Arabidopsis thaliana: one gene and its partners. The protein of the gene in region 1 interacts with the protein of each later gene in a pairwise test. Each region holds a gene or a part of one and is shown on either strand. Other genes may lie near its edges.

The links.
Region 2: the proteins of HB34 (region 1) and HB22 interact in a two-hybrid assay, tested with the Arabidopsis thaliana proteins (one study listed by BioGRID).
Region 3: the proteins of HB34 (region 1) and AtHB23 interact in a two-hybrid assay, tested with the Arabidopsis thaliana proteins (one study listed by BioGRID).

The regions. Positions count from the first base shown.
Region 1 is NC_003074.8:10,939,663-10,943,597, reverse strand, and holds HB34 (homeobox protein 34), read left to right. Parts: upstream 1-1,764; 5' UTR 1,765-2,061; coding exon 2,062-3,000; 3' UTR 3,001-3,293; downstream 3,294-3,935. UniProt on the Arabidopsis thaliana protein: Putative transcription factor.
Region 2 is NC_003071.7:15,347,228-15,350,823, forward strand, and holds HB22 (homeobox protein 22), read left to right. Parts: upstream 1-1,983; 5' UTR 1,984-2,099; coding exon 2,100-2,184; intron 2,185-2,303; coding exon 2,304-2,698; intron 2,699-2,783; coding exon 2,784-2,861; 3' UTR 2,862-3,063; downstream 3,064-3,596. Other genes in the region: RPL24A (ribosomal protein L24), read right to left, coding at 3,321-3,477, 3,572-3,596. UniProt on the Arabidopsis thaliana protein: Probable transcription factor.
Region 3 is NC_003070.9:9,354,094-9,358,158, forward strand, and holds AtHB23 (homeobox protein 23), read left to right. Parts: upstream 1-1,733; 5' UTR 1,734-2,032; coding exon 2,033-2,138; intron 2,139-2,219; coding exon 2,220-2,590; intron 2,591-2,855; coding exon 2,856-3,146; 3' UTR 3,147-3,409; downstream 3,410-4,065. UniProt on the Arabidopsis thaliana protein: Probable transcription factor.

The DNA of each region.
Region 1 (3,935 bases):
TAATTAAAAAAAAAAATCGAAGGATCATATTTTTCGTGTTTGGTTACCGATCGATAGGTTGAATTTCTCGGTCCAATGATGCAATCATTCGTTGGAAAATAATTTGTGATTTCAGAATCCAAAAACATGCGTACAATACGACCTTCTTATTTGCCAATTCATTTGTATAGTGATTATTCTCATCACTATGGTTTAGTCATCATTGGCTTTGTTCTGAAATGTTTTTCTTTATTTTTTTTGGTTTTAGCCGTATTTTGCTTGTTCGAAAGAAGGAGCAAGTTGTGATGCTCTTGATGTGATCGCCCAGAAGAAACTTTGGCCACCGACTTCGTTTTTCTCGGCGATGGTCGCTTGGTACGAACACATTGGCCTTGGCCCATGGCGTTTGCTTGATTGTTTGTACACACCACCGCACATGACAGAGAATCATCAAAATTTGAATATTTTAAATAATAAATATAAATTACATATATTTAGTAAGTTCCGATACTAATTTAGATTTTAGTCTATGACCTTGAATGACGGTAGTTTTTAGACATTAGGTCTTAGTTTTAAACCCAAAAGACCGAATTTGATATAGGATCTATTTATGGTAACCGAAGAATTTAACTGCATATGACTAAAGACATGACTGGTTTAATTGCAGCGGACGGGGCTGTGGTTTCGCTTGCGGTTGCGGAAATTTGCGGAAGCGAGATATTGTGGTTTCAAGCGTTTTAAACGACTAATTTAACGTTTCAAAATAGATGCATTTGCAGAAATCTTATGACTAGATGCAATAATAATTAAATAAATAAAAAAGATCCAAAATAAATATAATATATAGGATTAGATACAAATATGAAAAGATATATACAGAATTATATATATTTATCTTAATTACAAATATGTTGATTATTTATTATTATTTTAATATTTTAATTCAACCGCTACCATCCACAACTACAAACGTTTGCGGGAAGGAGTTTTTGAAATGTATTGATATCGAGCGATCCGAGCAGTATCCCGCGATTTATATGATTATTGTCAATCACTAACAATTGTTACCACATGTAAATGATGCGTTTGCATGTAGTAGAAGGAGAACCAATCAACCCCTTAACTGATGATGGCTGAATTTATTTTAAAGGTGGCTGAATGACTTCAAATGATAACCACTGAATTTATTTGAGATTATTCATTTTTCAATATAGTTACCTGCTGGTAACATATATTTCCTCCATTCATAATAATATCGTTTTAAATATTTTTATATAAATTATTAATATATATTATATTTTAAAAACCAAACTGATTCATACTTTATAGATTTTACATTGAAAATTTAGAACAATACTTATTTTGGAAAAAATCTTTAAACAACAAAACAGAATAAGTATTTTTTTTAATATTATTTTGTGAAAAACAACTATTTAGTTTACAATAATACCTAATAGTATAAGTAAACTTTTACAAAGTTGTTCGGTAATTACATTGTAATAGTCAAATATACAAAATGCTAAACATATTTTAACAGAAGGAACAAATATTAGAATAAAGTAAAAAGAAGCCAACTTCAAAAAAAAACAAGAAGTGTCACAATGCATGAGAATATTAATTATAATTGGACTGTCTTTAGGTTTAAGACATTTATTACTCTATATATATTTCCCCACTCCCTATTACAGGTCCCACTTTTAACCATACATTTAACCATAGTTAAATCATCAAACCCTACCTTTCTCTGTTAAACATCTTCAAGCTCTGTCCTTTTATTTTAAATATATTTATTATTCACATTTATTAACATTTTTATATCTCTCCCTATTAAATTATTTTATTCTCTCTTAGCAACATTCATCAACCAGAGCAGATTCACTATCATCATCTTATAACACATCTTCTTCCTCTAAAGTTTATTTTCTTAAACTTATTACAAAAAACATGATCTTCAAAAGTTGATTTAATCTCTTTTTATCCATCTTCTTCTTCATTTCTCAATATCAAACTTTTCTTTTTTTGTAAGCTTAACATAAACCCTAATATTTTCTTGATTTTTTTCAAGAAAATAAAAACATAAAGATGCTTGAAGTTAGATCAATGGATATGACTCCAAAATCACCAGAACCCGAATCCGAAACTCCGACCCGGATCCAACCAGCTAAACCAATCTCTTTCAGTAACGGAATCATCAAACGCCACCACCACCACCACCACAACAACAACAAAGTCACTTACAAAGAATGTCTCAAGAACCACGCGGCGGCGATTGGTGGTCACGCGCTTGACGGTTGCGGCGAATTTATGCCGTCTCCTTCGTCAACACCTTCCGATCCAACTTCTCTCAAGTGTGCAGCTTGTGGTTGTCACCGTAACTTCCACCGCCGTGAAACTGACGATTCCTCCGCCGTTCCACCACCGTCTCTTCTTCCATCTTCAACAACAACCGCCGCAATTGAGTATCAGCCTCATCACCGTCATCATCCTCCTCCTCCGCTAGCTCCTCCGTTACCACGTAGTCCTAATTCATCTTCTCCGCCGCCTATCTCTTCCTCCTACATGCTTTTAGCTCTCTCCGGTAATAATAAAACCGCACCGTTCTCAGATCTAAACTTCGCCGCCGCGGCTAACCATCTCTCCGCCACGCCTGGCTCGAGGAAGCGATTCAGGACGAAGTTTAGCTCAAATCAGAAAGAGAAGATGCATGAATTCGCCGATCGAATCGGTTGGAAGATTCAGAAACGTGACGAAGACGAAGTTCGTGATTTTTGCCGTGAGATCGGAGTTGATAAAGGTGTTCTCAAAGTTTGGATGCATAATAACAAAAACTCCTTCAAATTCTCCGGCGGAGGAGCAACCACCGTGCAGAGAAACGATAACGGTATCGGCGGCGAGAACAGTAACGATGATGGAGTTCGCGGTTTAGCTAACGACGGTGACGGTGGTGGTGGGAGATTTGAGAGTGATAGTGGAGGAGCTGATGGTGGCGGAAACGTAAACGCCTCGTCGTCTTCGTCGTGAAGAAGAAAACATCATGTCGTTTTGCAGGGAAAGAGTTATAATAATGGAAGCTTAAGCTTTGTTTTTAGCTTTAGATCATAGAGAGTAAGCACTGGTATTATTATCGTTAATACGTTTTATTAATATTAATTAAACTCTTTTAGCTCTTTTTTAATTTTCCAATTTTATTATAATTTCATTACCACGACGTTGTCTTATTTTTCCATTTAAAGTAAGTTTATATCAACAAATTGGATTATGTTATAATAAGTCAATTTTGGTTAATTTAATGAACCCTAATGAGGAAAATTTTATAACTTTAATGTTTTTTTTAATAATATGTTTTTTGGCTTCTTATCTTAAAAGCATTTTGTCTTTTTAAATTGTAACGTTCCCAAAGGTTTCATAATACTTTTCCACTAATGGAAAGATTATATGAACTAATCACCCGAATTAGTCACAACACTATAGGTCAATTTAGGTAATCAAACGAACCCTAAAATGTGAGTCCCAAACATAAATAAACTATTGCAATTTAGTTAATTATTTAATATTATTTGATGGTTTCTTATCTTGAAGAGTACTTTGTCGCTTAATTTAATATGCGATCAAACTAAGATCTAGGTGTCCTTTTCATAAATCTCTCTTTATTCTTTGAGAAAAGAGACAGGTTTTGTTTTATATATTAATTATTCTAATAATATATTTTGCAATGATTAGTTATCTTGGTGTCTAATTAACAAAAGATTCATCGGATAATTCATTTTAATTTCCTCATTAATCCATTTCTTTATCATCCTTACATTCCCACTATCCGTTTTTGGTATATATGCTCAAGTGTTCGATATTCTTAAAGTGCAAACTACAAATAAGTATATATTATATAATTGGGATCTAACTATTATTATTAAAGTGCTATATAGTGTTAATTTAGGGCGTGGAACTAATCATTAACT
Region 2 (3,596 bases), on another chromosome or scaffold:
TTTAACTAACATGGAATTTTGACCTATAAAGAAGGAAACAATTCTAGTGAGCTTCTTCTTTATACGAAAACATTCAGTAAATGACACAACACGCTGCTCTCTTGAGCTTTATTTCTCTGTAACTTTATACTATATGGTCCTCGTTTTTAGATTATCATAATATAGCTTTCTTCGTAGTACTATTTAGTATTTACTCACTCAATTTATCACTTCTACACTCTCTCTATTCATTGGATTGTGACAATAATAGTTACGTATCTCGATCCCAAAGTGTTGAATTCAATAGATTTTAACAGGCTTTATACCTTCAGCTTCTAACAGAGATGCTTCTTGATTTAGCTTAGAACTAGCAGATAATAAGTAGATCTCTTTGGCATCTTTGATTATCCATCATGCTCCTGATGGTTAATTATTCTGTTTATATGTAACTTTTATTGTAGTTACATTCTCATTATTGATCCCTTCCAACATTGATGATCAAATATATCTTCGATCGGGATTCAAAAGAGCCTTTAACTAATTACTCTTATCTTCTAGCGTTTGTAGGATTTTTGTTCGCTTTCATTAACATATGTGAACACGAAAAGTTAAACCAATTTTTATGATTATAATCTATTACAAATTTATTTGGTTTACATTGTTTTATTTTAAGCAAAATCATATGGGACTAGTGGCTCTTTTTCCGTTTCCCAACTTATACGTGTTTTCGATACCACATGTTATATAAAAAATATATATAATTAACAATATTTCCAAATGCTTATGAAAAATTAATAATGATTTAGATACAGTTTTGTTTCTGGTAAAGATGTATAAACTAATACACAAGGGAGAAATAAATTATTAAAAAAAAGTCAGTTTAAAAAAATTAGGATCACCGGTTAAGATTTTTTTCTTTGAAAATCTTTTATTTTTATTCAATCCAATGACTTGATACAGAAAAAATATCCCCATCTTGAAATCACATCAAAAATTGGCTGATGTAGTTGTTACGTGCTTTGGAAATGGAACAAAATATACTTATGTCAGTCACAATTAACGTTTAAACCGTAGAATTTGATTTAGAGAAACATAACTAGTGCTAGAAACTTCATCTTTATCTAACCATATAAGCATTTACCATTTCTTCAAGATAAGTTGCATCATTCAATTTCTAACTATACTTTATCGCCGGATCATACCAAAAAAACACGTAGATCGATATGATGATACTATTTTCACTAGTGCACTGTGTGCTCCCAAATTTTGTCAGGATCAGAATTGGACCCTTCTGATCTATCTGTTGGAGTAGCACCCTGCAGCTCCACAGTGTTAAATAAAGATTGTGGGGACTTTACAAATACATATACATACAAAGAGATGAAAACTGGAGGCTATATTACAGATTGAGAGTAGAAGTTTGAATTCATATATGTCAGATTGGTTGGTTAATTAAGGTAGAGAAAGTGATAGACATTTGTACAAATGTAGAATCTGGACCATTCTCTCTTTTCTTTTTCACCTCTATCTCTTACTCTTACTGTTCCTTTCTCAACTCACATTACTTTCATTTTATTTTATTCTTTTATATATACTAAAATCCACATTAATTGGTCACGTATAATACGAAATACCTACGTTATTACTTATGTAAATATCTTACTTATGGAAACATACAAGGTCATGTGAGAATATGAGAATAATAATCAATTTTTAACAAAAATTTCAAACTAAATAATCACCATTAACTTTTTTTAGCTCGTTTTGTATCGTATAATGCATTTGCTCAACACCGCCTATTCTTACCCTCATCGTTCGGAGTACTATTTGTTACCGGTCAGACTAATGAAACCATTCATTTACACATATATTTATCTTACTTGATAGTGACCAATTAGTTACCCGAAGTTAAAAACAGAAGCCCTAGCGTTTTCAACCACATTTACTTATCTATATATAATGTTCCTGCATGTTCTAACATATGCATATAGTGATAAAGATACACCCATATCAAACACCCAAAGTTGCTCATTTCCTTGTTTAGGTAAAAAATAGTCTCTTGAAAGTGATTGTTGTAAGCAGAGATAGACAAAAGAGGTAAAAAAAAAGAAGAAGAGAAGATGGAATATTGGAGCAGCTCCTTCATCGATGGCGCGTCTTCTTCCAGCTTCATCTCTCCTTTCTATAACTTTGACCATTTTTCAGGTAACATGCATCCATAGTACTAGGTTTTAGTAGAGCTAGTTTATATGCTTAATGCTTAATCATTCACTCAACTGTATGTCGCTTTACAAGTCTCTCTCTGTCTTGTATTGAATTTGTAGGAAACCAAGACAACAGATGTTTAGGTACAATGATGGGTGCACAACAAGATATACTTCATGTTCCTCTAGCAATGGTAGAGAGTGGCTATGGAGAAGAAAGCAACAGTTTTAATGGACAGGAGAAGAAAAAAAAGAAGATGACGAGCGAGCAGCTAAAGTTCCTCGAGAGAAGTTTCCAAGAAGAGATAAAGCTGAATCCGGACAGGAAGATGAAGCTGAATCCGGACAGGAAGATGAAGCTGTCCAAAGAACTGGGGCTGCAGCCGAGACAGATTGCGGTTTGGTTCCAGAACAGGAAAGCCAGGTGGAAGAACAAACAACTTGAGCATCTCTATGAATCACTAAGACAAGAGTTTGATATTGTCTCTAGAGAAAAGGAATTGCTACAAGAAGAGGTAATTACTCCAGTGATCAATACTAACTTAATAAATAAGCTTTCGAGTTACAATCCATTGAGTTACTTTCACTTTGTTTCAACAGCTAATACAACTGAAATCAATGATAAGAGAGGATAGTTCATGCAAGAAGAAACAAACCTGGGAAAAAGCCTGCAGCTGAGGCAATAGTATATAAGTTCCACTTCAGTTATATCTCCAAAATGGCTCAAATTTGTAGCTTTAGTCCCAAACAAGCAACAATTTCTATGGCTGATTCTGTTTTCCTTTGTATTAAGTATTGTTTAAGTGATTTTCGTGTAAAGGGTTCTTTACTAAGTTGAAGTTAATGAAGAAACATCGTGATTCAAGAACTCTAGATCCATAATCAATGCTTAACCAAAGCTCAATTTAGCTCAGACCACTAATAATGTCCTAGAATAAGCCAAGTTGAAAATTCTATTTAGCAGTTTTTGGATCTACGAGTAAAACACAAGGGGATTGATACCAAACAAAAAGTTTTCATAAACTGAATATATTAGATCTGGTGCAAAACTAAAAAATGGCTGACAAAACAAAACAATGTCAAAACAAGAAAGAAAGATAAGTGAAGAGAGAAGAGTGGGCTACTCTATAGCTCCATTCAACGTCTGCCTCCACCACCACCCATCTTAGCAGCCTTGGGTGCAGCACTCTTGGGGATATTTCCCTTCACTTGTGACTTCTGTTGCTTTGATGCATACTCGACCTTCTTTGCCTTCTTCTCGTCCTTGGTCTTCTTGATTCTCTCCTTGATCTCACTGCATAATCATCAGATTAGCTTTGAATCAATCACATTTCAGTTTCAAAAAAAAATTGATGTATATAGTGACTGTCTTCGGGAAAGAAACAAACCGTAGGGCAGCTTCTCTAGCGGCAT
Region 3 (4,065 bases), on another chromosome or scaffold:
TGTCGTGAGAAAACCAGCCACCAATTTTGAATCTACCTCAAGCTCCAGCCGCGTTATACCCTTCTCCCAAGCTATAACCAACCCGTAGTACACACCCCAAAGCTCTGCTAACGGAGCCGTGCACCGCCCTAAATTCAGGGCAAAACTTCCTCGCCAATCCCCGTACTCGTCCCGCAAAGCTCCTCTTTTTCTGTTATTGTAGTGTGTGATTTGGCTTGTTCTCGCAAACATATATACCAACATTAAACAATACTCAAGTTTGTCCCCCCAAAAAAACTAATACTCAAGAAAATATACAAGTTGTTTTTCCATTTCAACAATTGGCCTTAGCCATATGTGTATACTACAATTTAAGATTGCATAATACATTAAGAAGGAATAGGCTTGCAATGTGATTTTTTATTAAGCAAAAAAATGAAAAAATATATATTTTGTGTACACCTTTTGATACTAAATGAAAAATTGAGCATATTTATTTATATGCGTTTGTTTGTATGTCGTTGAATTGCACTTTTCATATCTCATGCAACATAAAAAATTCATAGAATAAATAGTTTATGCTTTTAGATAAATACAATTGAGGTTAAAACACACAAAAAAGAACAACTCGTGGTAATTTATAAAATAGTTTCAACAAAAATATTTAAACTTGTAGAATATAGACTTGTTGATTACAAAATGATTTGATAGGGAGACCAATTTATACAGTAGTTGGGCCTATATTAAAGTATTTTATCATAAAACCGACCAAAACGTCTAAGAAAGTTGATAAGTGGGGGACCTGAGAAAGAGAAGAAGAAGAAGGAAGAAACCGGCCTCGCATATAAAATGGGCTTTGTGTCAAAACACAATCTGCGGTGATGAAGAGCTTTTTGTGTCCCCCGAAAGTATGTTTACCTACCATAGAGAAAAAGTCATGTTATGTTGTAAAAGGTTTTAAAAAGAAGAAGTCTAATCATATCATAGACTAGTGAGAGTTACCATGTAGGACCTTAGAGTTTGCTTTCATTTCATATCATTGAGACATAGACAAGTGATACCATGTAGGGCCTCTAAGAGTTTGCTTGCATATACTTCTTGACGACCAAAATCACTAGTTTTAGTTCTCGTTAGAAATAAAATTCCATTGACTTGAACACTTATGCATGCAACCATCCAAATGCTTATGTAGGGCATGCTGTTAAAAGAAATTTTAATTAGATATCAACTTTGAAATATTTCATTAAGAATATCAGTTTTTTTTACATATCATATTTAAATTCAACTCTTTTTTTGAAGAGAAAGTGGTAAGAGTATCTAGATCTATAAACTCCCAAAATTTGAAGTATTTGTTACAAATACTCAAATTGTTCATTACGGTACATATTTAATTATACACATCTGAATTAAATATATTCACAATAAATTAATTATGATAATCTAGTGGTTGAAAAAATTACTATTAAATTGAGTGACCATAATCTAATCAATTCACTGTAATATCAATCATGGTTGACCACTGTAAACATCTTAAATTGCAAGAATATGCTATCTTTCACAATGTCCGGAGATTATTATGAATTTCGTTTCAAAAATTCTATAATAGAAAAATATACATATATAATTAGTATGACTATGATATATCTGTCTTTCTATTCGTAAAAAACAAGAATTATCTTTAAAAATACTTGATATGAAAAACTACATAGTACATATCCGTAATCTACCAAAACGGATACAACGTAGTAAAATTAGGGATTTTCCAAAACATACAAAAGCCCATATTCCACCCCTCCAAAGACTATAATCATCCCATGTCTACCTCTCTGTCTCATCGGCTTTGAGTCTTGTCTCCTATTTTATATACTCATATAATAAACAAAATAAAACCAAATTTTCTAATCTAGCTAGTATTTAGCCTATAAGTGGTGTATACTCAGTCTTCTAATTCATTTCACCACCATCCTTCTTCTTCTTTATTTAGTTTTCTTTCTGTACTTTGAACCAAGACAAGGTGGTGGAGAGGAGAAGAAGAAAACAACCAACAAGAGACATGTCTTGTAATAATAATGGCTTAGCTTTCTTCCCTGAAAATTTCAGTCTCCAAAACCATCACCAAGAAGAAGAAGATCACCCTCAACTTCTTCAAGACTTCCATGGTACATCATCTCAATTAACACCTTTGTTCAAAATTTCTAATCCTTTTTTTTTCTACTTCTCAAGATCTTCTCTGTTTTTAGGGTTTCTAGGTAAAAGATCTCCAATGAACAACGTGCAAGGGTTTTGTAATCTAGATATGAACGGAGATGAAGAATATTCAGACGATGGATCTAAGATGGGAGAGAAGAAGAGGAGATTGAACATGGAACAATTGAAGGCACTAGAGAAGGACTTTGAGCTTGGTAATAAACTTGAATCAGATCGAAAATTAGAGCTAGCTCGTGCCTTGGGATTGCAACCTAGACAAATTGCTATATGGTTCCAAAACAGAAGAGCTCGATCCAAAACCAAGCAGCTTGAGAAAGACTATGACATGCTTAAGCGTCAATTCGAAAGTCTCAGAGATGAGAACGAAGTTCTTCAAACTCAAAATCAAAAGCTTCAAGCTCAGGTAAAAGCAGAAACTTCATAACACAAAAGTACTCTGTTTCTTTTTTAATCTTAAATACTCTGTTTTTTAAATCATATATTTCATAAAATATGAATCTTTTTTAGTTGAATTTTATAAAAACAATGCTCTTTTTTGTTTTTTATTGATGTTATTCTTTCAGTTTCGAATTCATAATTTGGAATATATTTGTTTTAGGTCAAAACATAATTTGGAATCATTTTGCAATTTTACGTTCTTTCTTAAATAGTTTGTGTAAATTATGCAGGTAATGGCATTGAAAAGCAGAGAACCAATAGAATCAATCAATCTGAACAAAGAAACAGAAGGATCATGTAGTGACAGAAGTGAGAACATTTCTGGTGACATCAGGCCACCGGAGATCGATAGCCAATTCGCCCTAGGCCATCCACCGACAACTACAACGATGCAGTTTTTTCAGAATTCATCGTCAGAACAGAGAATGGTGAAAGAAGAGAACAGTATCAGTAACATGTTCTGTGGAATTGATGACCAGTCTGGGTTCTGGCCATGGCTTGACCAGCAACAATACAATTGAATGTGGTCGATCTGTTCTTGTTTGTATTAAAATTTTCGTTTTCTTTAAGTGGTCAGATGAACCAATTCATGTTTCAAGAATCTATATTTAGTCTATATGCACCAACTAAGCTAGTAGTTTTTTTGGGTAATGTGATGTAAGAGAATTAATGGGGGAAATATTCATCATATTATATGATAATTAATCAATCATATGGGCCATATGATTAGACATTAAAAAAAGTCTGAACCATGTGCTTTTATATCGTACAACTAATATCCAGAAAACTCTAAGAAATAAAAATTTTAAAAACCCACCCAAAAAGACTTTTCCATGAAACAAATTATGCTTATGTCATAATTAAGTCTATAAGATGAACAAAAATAGAAGACATGATCTTAAAAATAGATCATTAATTACGATTAGCGGTACAATAAACTGTAGAAATCATATAGTTAAATGGCACGGTTGAAGTAAAATGTGAAGTGTGTGAAAGAAAGAGCATCAATTTACAGATTCCGAGGAGAGGATGCAAACAAATAGGGTTGGAAAGTGGTCATTCTCTTTCTGAAAATGGACCCAACACTTTTTACCCTTTCATCGACACTGACATTGCCCGACGACTCCAAATTTGTTATTCATATAAGCCATCTCTTAGGCTATGAATGGTGACATACACCGTACCCAAAACCGCACCGCAACAGTGTCAAAATCTCTACATATACATATGTATTTATATATTTTTGTTACTATTTGAACCGCACCGCACTTCTTCCGTACCGCAAAACGCAGTCGCCATTCGGACCTTTAATTAAAAAATAATAATAATTAATAACACACACCATGACTTACAAAAGTTGTGAACCACCAAGGCACTAAGTTTGGAGTCGTCGAGCAGTGTCAGTAACGGTGCTCTTTATACATTATATCTCTACCGTTT